Linked DNA regions of Mus musculus. The protein of the gene in region 2 binds, or shares a complex with, the protein of the main gene of each other region. Links are inferred from orthologs where the notes say so. Each region holds a gene or a part of one and is shown on either strand. Other genes may lie near its edges.

Region 1 (8,007 bases), on a different chromosome or scaffold from region 2:
GAAACCAGAGGATAAAGGAAAAGTAAAGGCAGATGTCAATGATGCTGACCTATTATTTGAGTAACACCACCACCTCATACTAAGACAAAGTATTCCCTCAAACTGGACTCACTATGGTATTTTAATAATTCTGTGGCATATCAAAATATAGATGATCCGTTCTTTGGGAAAGAAGAGAGTACATGCCGTGTGAGATTTCAGCTAATTGATACAATATGCTTTGTCAGCAAAACGAATCTTGACTCAGTTGTACTGTTCCTAGAAATGGTTATCCTGGATGATGCTTTTGAGATGTACACCCAGACGGTTAAAAGAATGACTGTTGTAAAATAGAAATTCCATTATGTACAGTCATTTATGTAATGAAAATAAATTATAAACTAAGATGTGAGTGTTTAAAAAAAAATAACACTCGTATAAGATTGGGAAAGTTATATTTAAATTCCCCAGGCCCTAAGTTTCGCACCCTTTGAAGTGAAAACATGAATTTTTCATCTCATAAAAGCATTCTGGATGTAACGGTGGGAAAGTGGCACACAGATAGGATTGACTGACACAGCTAACACACCACATGATGTTACTTTACTTACCAACTGCTTCATAGTTAGGAAGGACATAAAAAATAAATCTTAATTTCATCCAAAAGTCAATTAATCAATCAACCAAACAATCAAACACCTGTGTCTACATGGCTTAGCGCTCAAACATTTATGCCCAAGCACCTAAAGGGGCTCCATGTGTGGAAAGTAATTGCTCATCAGTAGTGCCTCCTATAGATGCTCAAAATAACTAGGATTTGAAAAATTTGCCAGGGTCACCTGGAGGATATTTTTTAAGAGTGAACAAATGAGAAAAGACACGAAGACCACACCCTAGACTCATCTTCGGAGACCAGACTCCATCCAAAAGAACAATCCAAGAAGTTGTATTGCTTTCCAATGCTCCAGGTGCTAAAGTGGTGGCGTCACGGACAGCTACTTAAGTACTTCATTAACTTAGACCTAAAGACAATTAGCAAACTTCTTTTGGAAATAATGGTCACCATGTTGGTAGATTGTCCAGAAAAGCAACCTATATAACCTTGTTATTGGAAAGACTCTTAAAGACCTTGAAATTTACTGTCAGGGAATCAATGGCCAGACCTCTGTATGCTTTGCCCTAGGTTTAAATTGAGTTCCGGGGGAATGGAATTTTCATTTAAAGGTCTCAAGCTCCATAGCTATGTGCCCAGATGGAAAGAAGTTCAAAGCAGGCTATAAAAGTCCACGTGTTGACCTTGGTGCTCAAAATGTTGTAAAACCAAACACAGATGCTCCTCCCCTTCCAGAGGGGTAACTTTGCCAAAACATGTTACATTCTAAATGCCAGTCAGTGGGAACTGTATGTACCACACATAGCCTAGGAACCATCCTACACAGTTGTCTGGAGCTAGACAACATTATCCTATAAAAGTTCATTTTATAACGGTTTAAGACAGCTCAAGTAATTTATTGAATAACCAATTACTAGCATCTACCACTGGAAATTTAAAAATAAATATATCATATACTGAACCATCTTAAGTTGGGGACCATCTAGGTCCACATTCTTGACTTGAAAATGTTTACACCCCTAAGTTCTAGAGTTTTAATAAAAGAAGAATTTTCCCCTTATATCTCGCTTTGCTTCTTATTTGTGAAGACTTTGTGACAAAAAGCTGCCAGTAATTTAAGTAGCAGTAACGTCTCTGAAGCGGGCAGTCAAACGCCCACTCCAAGCTACATCACAACCCTTTAGCTCTGTAGTTTCTTGAGCTTCCAACAAAGATGGCGGACTTATTCATAAGCACATTATCACCATACAAGTCAGTGTGCCTTTAACTAGCTCAGCATTCCGAGCATTTTATTTTACAGCATCTGAATAAGCATTGATTGTGTGCGAAAATCAAATCACACAGTGGGAGCTGCCTGTGTACAAGTATGCAAAGTTCAAGGAACTGGTTGTAGTTTTTCTGATTAGATATTGATTTATTCTAAATATATCAAGTACTGTAAGACGCTTGAAGCCTGAGGGTACACAGTCATTTAAGATCAACAATTGAGTTTCTCCTTGCTTATCTGAACCTGCATATGTCAGAACCACTTTAATATTAATAATGATAAGGATTCTGTTCGAGTTTTTAATAACTGTAAAGAATGAAGAAAAGGGACAGCTGTCACCAAACATCTCATAAAGCATAATCTATTCACACAAATGATGTTCCCAAGTTCTCTAGGTTCGTAAAGTAATCTCTTCATAGATCTTTCTATAGCAAGACTGCTTTCAAGATTATTTGAAATGCCCCCTTCCTAAAAACAGATATGTGAGTTCTCTAGGCAGGAAACTTTCCCTCAATCAGTATTTAAAGTATCACAAGACCTGGAATGAAAGAAGGAATGGAACAAGAGTTTGCACTTGGTCCCAGAAGAACTTGGTTCCAGGTTAACAAAGTAACTCCCAAGTGTAGGCTACTTTGGAACCAAAGTATTGCCTGGTAATATAAGTCAAATTTTAAAATAATTGGCCATTCCCAGGTTCTTGTGGCCTTTACAATGAACTTGAAAGGAGTTTTATGTTGATTTGCCCTCCTGATCAAGGAGCAATTATTTCCTTTGCAATATTAACCCTCAATCCCATCAGAGAAACGTACATTTTAAAGAGAAAAAAATAATAAGCACAGTAATACCAGTTCAGGTTAGATGAACTTCATTGAATGGGCAGAGAAAGTATCTGTTTCCCCAGAGACCTAGTAAAATACAGATGAAGAAAACAGATCCAGGCAAGGAGGGAAGACTGACACCCAAGTGAAGCTTGCAAACAAATAACGAGAAATTATGAGAAATGTCCTTAAAGGCAGTAAGAAGGAAAAAGAAAAAAAAAAAAAACAAGGGGAAAAAAGTTGAAACCTTTGCCCCATTTATGGAGACGGAGGAGACACATCAAACACATATCTTCCCAAGGACTTCTGAAAGCATAGTATTAGAAACGGACAAGCCTACGAATTTAAAATATTAAAAAAGGCAGAGAATGCCACCCATTTGTTTAGCAAGTAAAAGGCCCGTGACAGTGTTCCGAACGTTCAGTTCCGCGTGTAAATAGGCCACACTGGCTGCACCGCACAGGTGTTTCTTCCAGCGAGCCAGCTGCCAGAACTATGCTCTAAACAAGACTCACAAACCCAAGCCCTCTGCACGGAAGGAAGGCTTGGTTTTTTGGGTCATCAAAGTTAGGTTTTTTTTGTTTTTTGTTTTTTTGTTTTTTGTTTTTTTTTTTTTTTTTCCTTCTCTCAGCAAACCAGAAAAAAAAAAAAAAAAAGCTGCCAGAGTCTGTCTCAGGCAGGAAAGCAGAGTATAGCCTGCAGGAAGGAATCTGAGAGGGTTCAGTCTTGTGCCAACAGTGGACAGTGTGTTTGGGTAGTGCACATACCTGAACAACAACAACAACAAAAATTCCAAATATTTCCTGTAGTATTTGCCCATTCATTTACTCCTCAGAAATAACCCTTCGCTCTCCCAGAGAGCCACACAGCTACACACACTCACACCCCAGAGAAGAAGCGCACTCACCAAAAAGTGACAGTACTCCACAGGCAGACCAGAAAACCAGGGACATGCCCACGCTGCCCGTGTTCTGGAGTATGCCCTTGGGGGAGATGAAGATGCCTGATCCGATGACGGTGCCGATGATGATGGAGACCCCCCTCAGCAAAGTGATCTTCTTTTTCAGAACTACCTTCTCCTGCCCAGGTGGCTCTTGGTCCCCCATGGAGGGCAGCCTCCCGCTCATATTGCCCTGCAGGTAACCTCCTTTGGAGATGGTGGCCACAACTGGCTTTCTGACCATGGCAGTGTCACACCAGAGGAGGGGGATGAAAAAGAAAACAGAGGGGGAAAAACAAAACAAGACAAAATAAAACAAAACAAAACAAACCCTTTTAACTTGTTTCTCTAAGAAGTGACTGATCACTGTTCGGTCGTGACTTCCCCTTTGCTATCACCGACTGGCTCTACACTATTGTGTCCACAGGTGAGAACTCAGAGGTGTGTTTCAGCCTTCGCTGGCTCTATAATTACTCCTCTTGCTCCTCGGAGCACCTGTGTGGCACCGGCTCCAGGGGCAGTCAGTTAGCTGCAGCCGCGGCTGCTGCCCTATCATTACACACCAGCTCAGCTTCCTCGTGGAAGGCTCCGTATTTAAGCAACCGCCTGTCACACCAACTTACTGGGCTGCATGATGATGCAAATTCTCCAGGTTTGCATCAGCCACATGAGAAAACTCCAGCTTGAGAAAGCGCCAACATTACTCAGCTCTTTTTTTTTTTTTTTTTTTTTAACAGTAGCCTGTGGGTTGCTCAATGGATCCAAAGCATTTCCCAGAACAAAGCATACTCTTAAAGAGGGGCTTAGCCAATCCAGAAGAAGTAAACAGGGAACCAGGGAATAGACACTGTCCCGGTGACTTTAAGCAGCTCCGCTCTCAGAGAGAGAAAAGAAGTTGGAAAATGAAACAGAAAACAATTACTTCGTTTTAAGGAGTTGCTTCTTAACTTTAAGGCGCGCATAAAAAATGTTGTATTCACAGCTGTTTTGACAATGGAAAGTGCCTTAGGGCTGCTCTGTTTGCAACAGCAAAGTTTATACTTCATAATTTGTATTCTCCTTACTTCCCCGGGTGTTTCCTAGCAACACTGTCAAATCTAATATTTACAAAGTCAGAAAGTTTCTGCACACGAGAGCCGTGGCTACATACAGCTCCGCATGAACAGACACAATTATTTCTTAAGACCTGTAATACAAGGGTGTTTAAGATCACCACCTAAGTTTGAGAAGTTGAAAGATCATAGTGACTGCAGAAAACAGTCTTTTTCTGATTCTTGTCAGCACAGCGTGATTTCCTGAACTAGGTAGAAGGACTCGGTCTTCATTTGCATGTTGCTCCATCGAATTAAAAAGACTCCTCTTTGAATCTTAGGCAATACTTATAATTGCATGAAGACACGCACAGAGCAAGAGCTTGAGAAGGGAGTCCCATTATAATAGTTGGAGAAAGGAAGGAGATGACAGGGCATATTTTTTGGATCTATAAGCTATTCTGATTATAATTTGAAATGTATTACAATCAACAGGTACTAACTTTTAGTTAGCTCAAAGCCGGAAATTTTCGGTGACTGTAACAGAGTGTACAAGTCCATTTCAGAAAGCTAAAAGAATGTGTTTTTTACATAAAGAAATAATGACATCTTAAGGAGATAGAAGTGTTTACTCTGAGCATTCTACAATGGGCACATGTGCTGAAACTTTACACCCTATTCACATACACAGCTTTCATCTTTGTCAGTTAAAAAGAAATTTAAACATATAAAAGTACATTAAAACTTCAAAGTGGGGTTAAAATATTTACATTGAAAAAATTTCTTTTTTTTTAAAAAATTAAACACAAACTTGAAACGTTTTGCTTCTAATCAAGTGTCTTATGTGTAAAATAAAAATAAAAATAAAAAATTACCAAAAGAAAATAAAGCATCTCAGCTATCAGTCTCGGCACCAGGTCCCTGTGGTTTGAATTTAATGAGAAGAATCCCAATGCCATCATTATCCTGAAGCTGTGTTCAGACCCATGATTAAATATGCTTTTGAATCTCGGAATAAAAACAACCAACAGAAAATCTCCGTGGAAGCAAGGTTGGCTGGAGGGGGAGGGGAAAGGGGTAAGGGGAAGGGGTGAAGGATGGGGGGGATGATGGAGGCAGGAAATAACCTGGAAAGGAATCGTGGAAAATGTCAGAGCCTTTCTGCTAGGTCCTTATCTGAGAAAATGCCATGACATAATTGCCTTATCACACGAATAACCGAGGTCACATGACTTCCCTTTTACATGACCTACCCACCTTCTGTGTAATTTGCTTTGGATCTACAAATTATCATTTTTATAAAGCCCAAATTAATACTTTTTTTCAGCGTTTTTATTCCAAAAAAATAATAAATGGGGAAAGTTCCTTACTCAATCCTGTACAGATTCCTCAACAGGAAATCGGAGGACTTCTCCACCGCCTGCCCGCCCTGTTCCATCTCTCCTGTTCTTGCTCAAATGTCCTCTCACATAATTCTCCTGATTAATGAGCATGAGGGACTCTCCCTTCTCTGTTCCATGTCTCCTGTTCTTGAGTGAACTTCCACTCACATAATTCTCCAGATGAATGAGCATAGACAGGGCGCAGGAAGCTTTTGTTTCCTCAAAAGGGAACAATAATTCCAAAGAGATAAAAGTTTAAAGTGAAGCATGAAGACCCCAGGCACCAGTGCTCTGTCCTGGCCATGGCACCAGGCTTTGACCACTAAATTATAAATGGTTGGACTAGTAAGACTGGGGGCTATTAAGACAGGATGTTGGAAACAGTTTAAAGGAGAGAAAAAATGTTCTTCCAATTCTAAATAACATTCTCCTCCTCAGTAATTTTTATAGGAATTTATGGAGAAAAATATTCTAAAATTATACTAATAGCCAAGAAGGTGGTACTATCCTGTATGAGACTGAGATTCCAACTTTCTTCAAAACTGCACACAGTTAATAAAAAACCTTTGTATATCTCTCTGAAACACCTACAATTTTACAAAAATAAAAATTACAGGTTTCAAAGAAAATATTGAATTACCTTTAATGTTAACATGCCTTTATAATCACCAGTGTTAACCTTATAATCAAAGAATTGGTTGGTCTTCAAGTATATGTATGTCATAGAGCAAATACACTTACTGTCTTCCTCCTGCTTTCTGCCTTATTTTGAGCATTTTAGGGATTGTGAATAAATTTTTCAAGGAATGTCCTCAGTTCCTTAAAAGAATCCCACATGTGATATGCAATGCTAGCTAACATGCTATGCTAAAGGTAACAGCCCCATGTGTATAAACGTGGCTGTATAATTTAGGTGTGGCCAATGATTAATAAAACATAATTATTTTTCCAAATGCAGCTCATCAGAATGAGACCTGAGCTGAGGGGAAAGGTCCCCATAAGGATACTTAGTGTTAGTGTCACAGCACTATGGCATCTTGCCAAGAAGGTCAGATTCCTGATCCCTGAAGATCTTCCATTGATCTTCTGATTAGCTACTGAGGTTCCTTGATAGGAATACTGACTAGTACCCCTGTCATACATGGATGGTGGGCTTGAATGTGAAGCATCTAAAAGCAGGTTGTACCATGTGATAGCCATTAGCTAAGTGTAGTTACCAGTCCTGGAAATGTGTTTCACATTTAAAGTTGTATGAGATGACTTCCATAAAAAAGATATTATATGCTTGGTGAAAATTTAGAGAGTCTTCAATATAAAATAGATGAGAGATATATTTTATTTATTATGTTTAAAACAAGAGCATTCTTGTTCTTTCAAAGAGTAAAAACTATGTGTGTATGGTAAGCAGAGAAAAATTCTCCACTAAGTTTGTGCATCTCACCATAATACAGAAGCTATCAATTTTTGCCTCTGAGTAGCCAAGTAATAAATAATTTAGGCTTCATTTTCAGTTTTGGTCTCTGTTCAGTGTTCTTCACTTATGTATGTAAGTGTGTATGAACATGTGTTAAAACCTTTTAAAAAGGGTAAGACTCATTCTTAGCTTCTGTGTAGTTTTTTCAGCTGTTTGTCTGGTAGTGTTGAGTCTGCAGTCAGAATGGAGCAAGACAAAACCATTGCAATGGCTCGAGGTAGGGATTTTTACAAATACAGTTTTATTAAAATACACCCATAACCACATATTAATCTATTTCTAAAACTCCTTTCTCATCACAGCAGCATGGCTGGACCATTGTAAAAGAGATGAGAAGACCCCAGAATGGAAATGCTTATTTGCCTCTAGCTTAAGAACACACATAGGACCTGACATTACATTTATAATTTTCTTCTTCTAAAAACCATCCTTCTGTGTTTATTGCCCTCAAAGGGAGGTATGTTCCAGACTTAATTCATTAAAACCATCCTTCCCTCTGCCTA
Region 2 (7,880 bases):
TTCTCAGTGGCTCAGCTGTGCCCCTCCCTTTCTCACTTCTAAAAGATTCAGGTGCTCCTCTCACCAGTGTATTCCTGCTGACTTGGGTATTCCTGCACCGTTGGGCTTCAGTTCTCATTATGGCTTCACACAATCAACCCATCCCAGCATATCTATTGTATTTACCCCAGTTTTGTCTTTGCTGTTTGTTTTTGAGTCAGGGTCTTATGTCGCCCAGGCTGGCCTCAAACTTGTCGCGTGGTTGAGGGTTACTTTGAACTTTTCTTTTTTTTTTCTTTTTTTTTTTTTTTAAGATTTATTTATTTATTTATTTGTTATATGTAAGTACACTGTAGCTGTCCTCAGACACTCCAGAAGAGGGCGTCAGATCTCGTTACAGATGGTTGTGAGCCACCATGTGGTTGCTGGGATTTGAACTCCTGACCTTCGGAAGAGCAGTCGGGTGCTCTTACCCACTGAGCCATCTCACCAGCCCCTACTTTGAACTTTTCATGCCTCCACTTCCTGGGGTTTTAGGCCTGTGCCTCCTCTGTGCCTGGTTTATGTGGTGCTAAGGATAGAACTCAGGGCTTTCAAATGCTAAGCAAGCACTGGCTGAGCTCCACCCCCAGTCCTTCATCCTTCACTGCTTTGGTGTTGCAGATTGAACCCTGGGCCTTGCACATGGTAGGAAAGCACCGGTCTTCTGAACTGCATCGTCAGTCCTTTAAGTTTATATAGTCAACTGTGTTAGTTATTGTGTTCTATCCCTGGTAAGGGAAAGCAATCTACGTAGAGCATTGAGAGATGCTGTCACTTGAGTCAGAGCTTGAAGGAGGAAGAGTAACTTAGCAGGAAGATCCAAACAGCAGGACAGCATGCACAGGAGGCATTAAGAATGGAAACACCCTGTGTGTCGTGACTCTGGCAGGTGCTAGAAAGCTGCTGTGGCTGAACAGTAGTGATTAGGAAGGGTGCTGCTGAAAAGACTGATGGGAGCTCACGTCTCCTCTCTAAGATGCTTAGGAATAGATTTCTGCCACTTGGAGGTGGGGGCGGGGAGATACTGTGTTACCTTAAATTTTACTTACTTTGTGGAGGGCAGTGCGCATGTGTGGAGGGCAGTGCGCATGTGTGGAGGGCAGAAGACAGCTCCTGGGAATCAGTTCTCCTTTCACTGATCTTCACTGATCACTGAGGAGTGAGCTCAGGTTTGCTGGCTAGGCACCTTCACCAGAGGAACATCTTTTTTCTCTTTTTGGTCTTTTTTTTTTTAAAGATTTATTTATTCATTATATGTAAGTACACTGTAGCTGTCTTCAGACGCTCTCGTTAATGGATGGTTGTGAGCCACCATGTGGTTGCTGGGATTTGAACTCCGGACCTTCAGAAGAGCAGTAGGGTGCTCTTACCCACTGAGCCATCTCACCAGCCCTTTGGTTTGGTTTTTTGAGACAGGGTTTCTCTGTGTAGCCATGGCTGTCCTGGAACTCACTCTGTAGACCAGGCTGGCCTCGAACTCAGAGATCCACCTGCCTCTGCCTCCCGAGTGCTGGGATCAAAGGTGTGCGCCACCACGCCCGGCTCCAGATGAACATCTGGTTGGTTTGATCCATCTTGTTTTCAGTTTGGTTGATTGAAACACCATGTTTCTAATGAGCATTTCATCAAACCCTTTCAAGGAGTGCTTCTGCTTCACAGTCCACAAACCTTGAGCTTTCACGCTGTGTATAAACTCTGCATTGGACTTTTCTTATCTGTCATGCCCAGGGCAAGGTAGGACTCTTATCAACTATGAACACTAGCATGACCCTTAGCCTCTTCCCTCTTCCTAGGAGCTGGTGTATAGACTTTTCTCTAGTGAGGCCGGGGAGGACTTTGGGAATTCAAAAGGACAGTGGCAGGTGATGAGACTTTTCATATCCCTTCCTCTCTACTGTTCTGGCCTTGGCTTCTGCTTTCTTCCAAATACATAGCAATCTTGGCTGCCGGCCTACGTGGGGAGAGGGAGAAAGGACCTGTTGTTTCCTTCCGATTCTCTCTGAAAATAACCTAATTGGAACACAAAGTTCCTGAAATTGTTGGCACCTCCTAGAGTTGATGTTCACTTTTCACTTGTCCCTGCTGCTAACCCAGTCTGCCCCATTTACCCTTCCTCTTGCCAAGGACCTCTGCCGGGGGAATTTGAGAAACTTTCAAAGTGTGAGGGAACTAAGCTGGTTCCAGGGCCTAGCATAGTCAACTGATGTAGCCCGGCACACTAGAGGGTTTGAGAGTTATTGCAAGGTGGTTAAGAGTTAGAACAGGGGCTGGAGAGATGGCTCAGCAGTTAAGAGCACTCACTGCTCTTTCAAAGGTCCCGAGTTCAATTCCCAGGAACCACATGGTGGCTCACAACCATCTGTAACGAGTTCTGACGCCCTCTTCTGGTACATCTGAAGACAGCTACAGTGTAGTCACATATAATAAGTGAGTAAATAGTTCTTCTGGTGCATCTGAAGACAGCTACAGTGTAGTCACATATAATAAGTGAGTAAATAGTTAAAAAATAGTAAATAGTTAAAAAAAAAAGAAAAAAAGAGTTAGAACAGCTTGTATATTAAAAGGGTAGGTGCCTCAATACCTTCGGAATGTTTATTACAGCCCCATTAATCTCTTCTGGATGCCTGATTCCCAGTAATCCAACATTCTTGCTAGTAACTAGGGTAAGATAATAAGGGTAGTGACCACTTCAATTCTGCAGTTGAATTTTAAAATCAAGAAGAACGGATTAGAGTTGATCCTATGCAGTTGATGAAGCAAAGGATTGGAGTGGGTGCCCAGTAAATAGTTGCTGCCTGAGGAATTAAATTCAAGGAGTCTTGAAAGGTGAGTACGTGTAAGCCCCGAGGAGAATCCAGGAACTCAGCTAAGTCCGGAGTATGAGAAGATGTACGTAAAGCAGAAGTGAGATGTAGTGCCAAGGTCTGTGTGAAGTTGGGGAGATCAGCCTGAGCCGTGCTTGGGGCGAAGGGATCACGATGTGGATGGAGACTGGTGTCATCTTGTGGAGAGAAAAGAGGCCTCGCAGGGTAAGGGGCCGGAAGGTCGGAGGAGGGGCTTTGAAACCTGGTCAAGACAAATTCACGTTTGTTATTCTAAGGGTTTCTGACCACAAGCTCCCCTTCCCAGACTCTTGCAGGAATAAGCGTTAGGGATAGACGGGAGTATTCAGCGAGGCTGGAGGTGCGAAAAGACTTCTCTGCATCTCTTTAAGAGGCGGACCGGGGCGGAGTCCTGGGTCACTTCCCCGCCGCCACACCCGCCCAGCGGCAGAAGCAGTTAGGAAGCTCTGCTAGCCTCACGGCCACGGGACGCCTCTCTGAACGGGGATCCAGGCAGGATTAGAGCTGCCTCACTGACTACAGGCCGTGTCGTGTCACCGTTTCTGCAGGCACCATGAGCCAGGACACCGAAGTGGACATGAAAGATGTGGAGCTGAACGAGCTAGAACCGGAGAAGCAGCCCATGAATGCAGCGGACGGGGCGGCGGCCGGGGAGAAGAACGGTCTGGTGAAGATCAAGGTGGCGGAGGACGAGACGGAGGCCGGGGTCAAGTTCACCGGCTTATCCAAGGAGGAGCTACTGAAGGTAGCGGGCAGCCCTGGCTGGGTGCGCACCCGCTGGGCGCTGCTGCTGCTCTTCTGGCTCGGTTGGCTGGGCATGCTGGCGGGCGCCGTGGTTATCATCGTTCGGGCGCCGCGCTGCCGTGAGCTGCCTGTACAGAGGTGGTGGCACAAGGGCGCCCTCTACCGCATCGGCGACCTTCAGGCCTTTGTAGGCCGGGATGCGGGAGGCATAGCTGGTGAGTAGGGTGTGCACCCTCATCCCTTGCCCCCATGAATCCCTCGTTTAATCGGGCATTCTGCTGCTTTTTTCCTTCCTCCTCGTCTTCTCTAGAACGCTGGTGATTCTTTACTGCAACCTATTTTTTTTGGGACGACTCCCTGGCAAAAATCCCCCCCCCTTTCTTTAAAAAAAAAAAAAAAAAAACGCTAGCCGGACCCCTACTTCTTCCTAAGGGTGCCTGACTCAGCACATCATCTTTCTCCTCTCCCCTCCCCCAACCACGCGGCCCTGAGCCAGTTCAAACCAGTTTCTGAAGTAATGTGTGAGACTCCTTGCGTCAGCTACTTTGTCTCATGATCCAACCCGCGTCAGAGGGAGTCGGGAAGTGGTGGAGAGAATGTGGAGGCTGGAGGCTTTTCATGCCCTATTGGTTAACCCAACCCTCTCCTCCTAGGTCTGAAGAGCCATCTGGAGTACTTGAGCACCCTGAAGGTGAAGGGCCTGGTGTTAGGCCCAATTCACAAGAACCAGAAGGATGAAATCAATGAAACCGACCTGAAACAGATTAATCCCACTTTGGGCTCCCAGGAAGATTTTAAAGACCTTCTACAAAGTGCCAAGAAAAAGAGTAGGTCTTTCTAAGGAACTAGAAAGGGTTTGGCATTCTGGCCCAGAAACAGGATAGAGTTTTTGTCTGATTTTTCTCCTAACTGGCTCAGTTTTTTTGTGTCAGGCACAAGGGGGAATATGTTATGATTTACACTAAAAAATGTGCTTCATGCGTGAGCGTAATTTTTATGTATTTATTTTGGTTTTGGTTCTCAGGTAGGGTCTCACCATGTAATTGGTTGGCCTGTACCTGACTACCATGACCAGGCCGGATGAGAGTTTACAGAGCTCCCCTGGTCCCGAGTGCTAGACTTAAGTGTGTCACCATGGCTCGATAAAATAAATGGCTTTTAAATGTATAAAGTAGATCCTATATATAGAAGAGATTCAAATGCTGCTTTAGAGTTCACTATAGAGGGCTGACAACGTAGCTCAGTTTGTAAGAGTGCTTGTCTAGGATCCATGAAGACCTGAGTTTGATTCCTCAGCACAACACAAGCAGCATGTGCCTATAACCCCACACTTGGGAAGGAGATGTAGGGGCTTATTTATCCTCAGGCAGCCCGCCCACATACACAGAACCCTGACTTCATGGGAGGGGAAAATAAGAAAGAAACCAAAACCTCAGTATGGAAACTTGTGTGTGTGTGTGTGTGTGGGCGGAGGAGGAACTGCTCTAGTATAAAACCACCTGAGGGCTTTTGTGGGTTTCCTTCAGATTCTGTGCAAACCGTATGTAGGTTCACCTAGTAACCTGTGTTCAAGTTCCTTGTTTCCTCTTCTTCCCCAAAGGAGTTCTCTCAACTCGTTATTTTTCTAGGCATTCACATCATTTTGGACCTCACTCCCAACTACCAGGGCCAGAATGCGTGGTTCCTCCCTGCTCAGGCTGACATTGTAGCCACCAAAATGAAGGTGAGGTTTTATGGCCGACAGCATACAGATGTTGGTGCTGTGTGGATTTATTCACAGCAAGCCTCCTGTGCACTGTGTGGTTCTCCCAAGCAGGAATACCTCTTCCCATAGCCGGAGGGATAGGCCCAGGTGCACGGTGTTCTTCTTGTTTCTGTTCTGACTGCTTTGTGTGTGTGTGTGTGTGTGTATGTGTTTCCTTTACTCTAGAAGTGAGGCTGTGCCAGGAAGGGAATTTCTCAGATGTCAGTCTGGAACTGGAAGTTTAATTTTTCTTTTTGTGATAGGAAGTCTTTTCTTTCTCTGTGGGAACCCTGACCTGACTGGTTTCCCAGTTTTTGTTTGATGTATTTGGAACTGAGCCCAGTCTGAAATTATAAGTACTAGAGTCTTACTGTGTATCTGGTATTTTATCTTCCCCCATATTTTATTATTTTTTAAAGAGTTAACTCCACTATGAATGCTTTTTAAGATTTGTTTTTATGCATGAGTGTTTGTGCACTATGTGCATGTTTGGTACCCCAGCACTTGGGAGTTTAAGGTTATCCTCAGCAATGGAGATCTAGAACACAAATCTCCCAGCAACTAGCAAGAGCCAAATTGGGTGATTATAGGAGTCTCCAGAGGCAAGACAGAAAATAGAAAGGGTATTGGACAGTCAAGAAAGGATATTGGATCCCCTGGAGCTGAAGTTACAGATAGTTGTGAGCTGCTGCTACGTAGGTGCTGGGAACTGAACCTGGCTCCTCTGCAAAAGGGGCAAGCTCTTGACTCTGCGGAAGCTATTACCACTGAGCTCTCTCTCTAGCCTCCTGTCCCAAGTATTTTATAGCTGTTTTCTAATTTGTTTAGTAAACCCACAAAATATTGTCTGTTACTGACAATCTGTTACTGAAGAAACTGAGATGCAGTCACTTCATGTATTCCAAACCGGAAGTCTCAAGGAGTCTTCTCTGGTCTGCCTTTACCTTGAGGTAGTGGCTTAAACTTGGTACTCACCAGGCTAGGGTAAAGCTTCTAATGTCATCCCAGCTTCTGATGCCTACGTTTTAGGACACTGGCAGGTCCAGGGTGGACATAACAAAGGAAAGGCAGGTGCTGACACTTTTGGATTCTTAAGTATGTGGGGGAGACTCCTATAATCACCCAGTTTGGCTCTTGCTAGTTGCTGCGAGATTTGTGTTCTAGATCTCCATTGCTGAGGGTAATCCTAAACTCCCATGTGCTGGGATCCTATACTTAATAGGAAGTTTGTTAAAAGTTACTGATAAGAGAGTTCAAAGTAGTAGAGAAAGCCTGTAGCCTACACTTGAGAGTTGGCGGGAGGCAGGAGGATGAGAAGTTAAGCACAGCCTCAGTTATGCAGTGAGTTGGAGACTGGTCTGAAGTCAGAAAGAAAAGTTACTGATATGTCTTTCAGGTGGTAGCCTCAGGTGAAGATGGGAGAGCAAGTGAGAAGGGAAGAAAGGAAGTGTGGGGCTGGGTTCTGTGCTGTCAGTTGAAGCCAGGGTTTAAACCTTCAGGCCTGGGCCTGTTCTACAGAGCTGGCTTCTTTTCAGATGTCTCAACAGCCCTCAGGCTGTGTTTTGAATTTCAAACTTCTCATTCTTGGCCTTGCTCCCAGCAGCTCTTGTAGAAGAGCATACACTCTAAACCTCAGGAAACAAAGAGAGGAGCAAGTACATTTGCCTCAGGGTCCTATCTGTGCTCTTCCCCAGTTACAATCTTGGCCGCGTCTTCTCTCAGCCAATTTCTTCATCTCCAATTTGAGGGCATTTTCACCCCACATCCTAAGTGTTAAGTGTTAGAGCTGTGCGTGCATGTTTTCTCTTGGGTCATTTCTGTAGCTGTTAAAAATGAAGGTATGTGATTTGCCAAAGGCAAGACAGAAAATAGACAAATGCTATTACACAGTAAATGCATGGGTGGGGCACCAAGGGCTAACCTTTGACACTGGGAGACTGAACCCTGTTTACTCTAGGTCCCAGGGAAATTTGAGGTAGGTGAGGGCTTGCTTGTATGTTGATCTTGCCTGTTCTTTTGTCCCCTGTAGGAAGCTCTGAGTTCTTGGTTGCAGGACGGTGTGGATGGTTTCCAATTCCGGGATGTGGGAAAGCTGATGGTGAGTGCCCTTTCTGCATTGAGAGGCAAAAAGCTGTGGTGAGAAGAGTGGGTCTCAGCCACGGCGAGGTGGTGTTCCCTGTTCTGACTCTGCTTTTCTCTACTAGAATGCACCCTTGTACTTGGCTGAGTGGCAGAATATCACCAAGAACTTAAGTGAGGACAGGTAGGTACCCAGCACCCCTGCCTGGCTGAGCCCATTGTGAGAGCCTCGAGAGGCGAGTTTCCTAGTCTCGAGAACTCTTCTCTTTTATTCTTTATCTCCTGACATTTTCTAATCACACTCCTATCCTTGCTTTGTGCAGGCTTTTGATTGCAGGGACTGAGTCCTCTGACCTGCAGCAAATTGTCAACATACTTGAATCCACCAGCGACCTGCTGTTGACCAGCTCCTACCTGTCAAATTCCACTTTCACTGGGGAGCGTACTGA

Evidence for each region. The genes of interacting proteins can lie anywhere in the genome.
Region 1: the proteins of Slc3a2 (region 2) and Slc7a11 are in contact, whole or in part, in a cryo-EM structure (PDB 7P9V), measured with the Homo sapiens proteins. The link is inferred for Mus musculus from reciprocal best matches to the Homo sapiens genes SLC3A2 and SLC7A11. Residues at the interface, in NP_002385.3 of Homo sapiens: Glu167, Leu170, Ala173, Trp178, Thr181, Arg182, Phe189, Trp190, Trp193, Met196, Leu197, Gly199, Ala200, Ile203, Ile204, Ala207, Arg209, Cys210, Glu212, Leu213, Lys299, Arg534, Gln559; in NP_055146.1 of Homo sapiens: Leu151, Phe154, Phe155, Ile156, Gln157, Cys158, Glu159, Pro161, Leu163, Ala164, Leu167, Ile168, Ala170, Val171, Thr174, Val175, Val178, Gln217, Gln219, Val360, His373, Thr487, Gln489, Ile490, Ile491, Glu493, Val494, Val495.

The regions. Positions count from the first base shown.
Region 1 is NC_000069.6:50,439,401-50,447,407, forward strand, and holds the start of Slc7a11 (cystine/glutamate transporter), read right to left. Parts: upstream 4,214-8,007; 5' UTR 3,862-4,213; coding exon 3,585-3,861; intron 1-3,584. UniProt on the Homo sapiens protein: Heterodimer with SLC3A2, that functions as an antiporter by mediating the exchange of extracellular anionic L-cystine and intracellular L-glutamate across the cellular plasma membrane.
Region 2 is NC_000085.6:8,709,285-8,717,164, reverse strand, and holds the start of Slc3a2 (4F2 cell-surface antigen heavy chain), read left to right. Parts: upstream 1-3,267; 5' UTR 3,268-3,412; coding exon of another isoform or gene 3,413-3,417; coding exon 3,418-3,823; intron 3,824-4,261; coding exon 4,262-4,435; intron 4,436-5,236; coding exon 5,237-5,331; intron 5,332-6,869; exon of another isoform or gene 6,870-7,184; coding exon of another isoform or gene 7,185-7,190; intron 7,191-7,381; coding exon 7,382-7,450; intron 7,451-7,556; coding exon 7,557-7,615; intron 7,616-7,754; coding exon 7,755-7,880. UniProt on the Homo sapiens protein: Acts as a chaperone that facilitates biogenesis and trafficking of functional transporters heterodimers to the plasma membrane.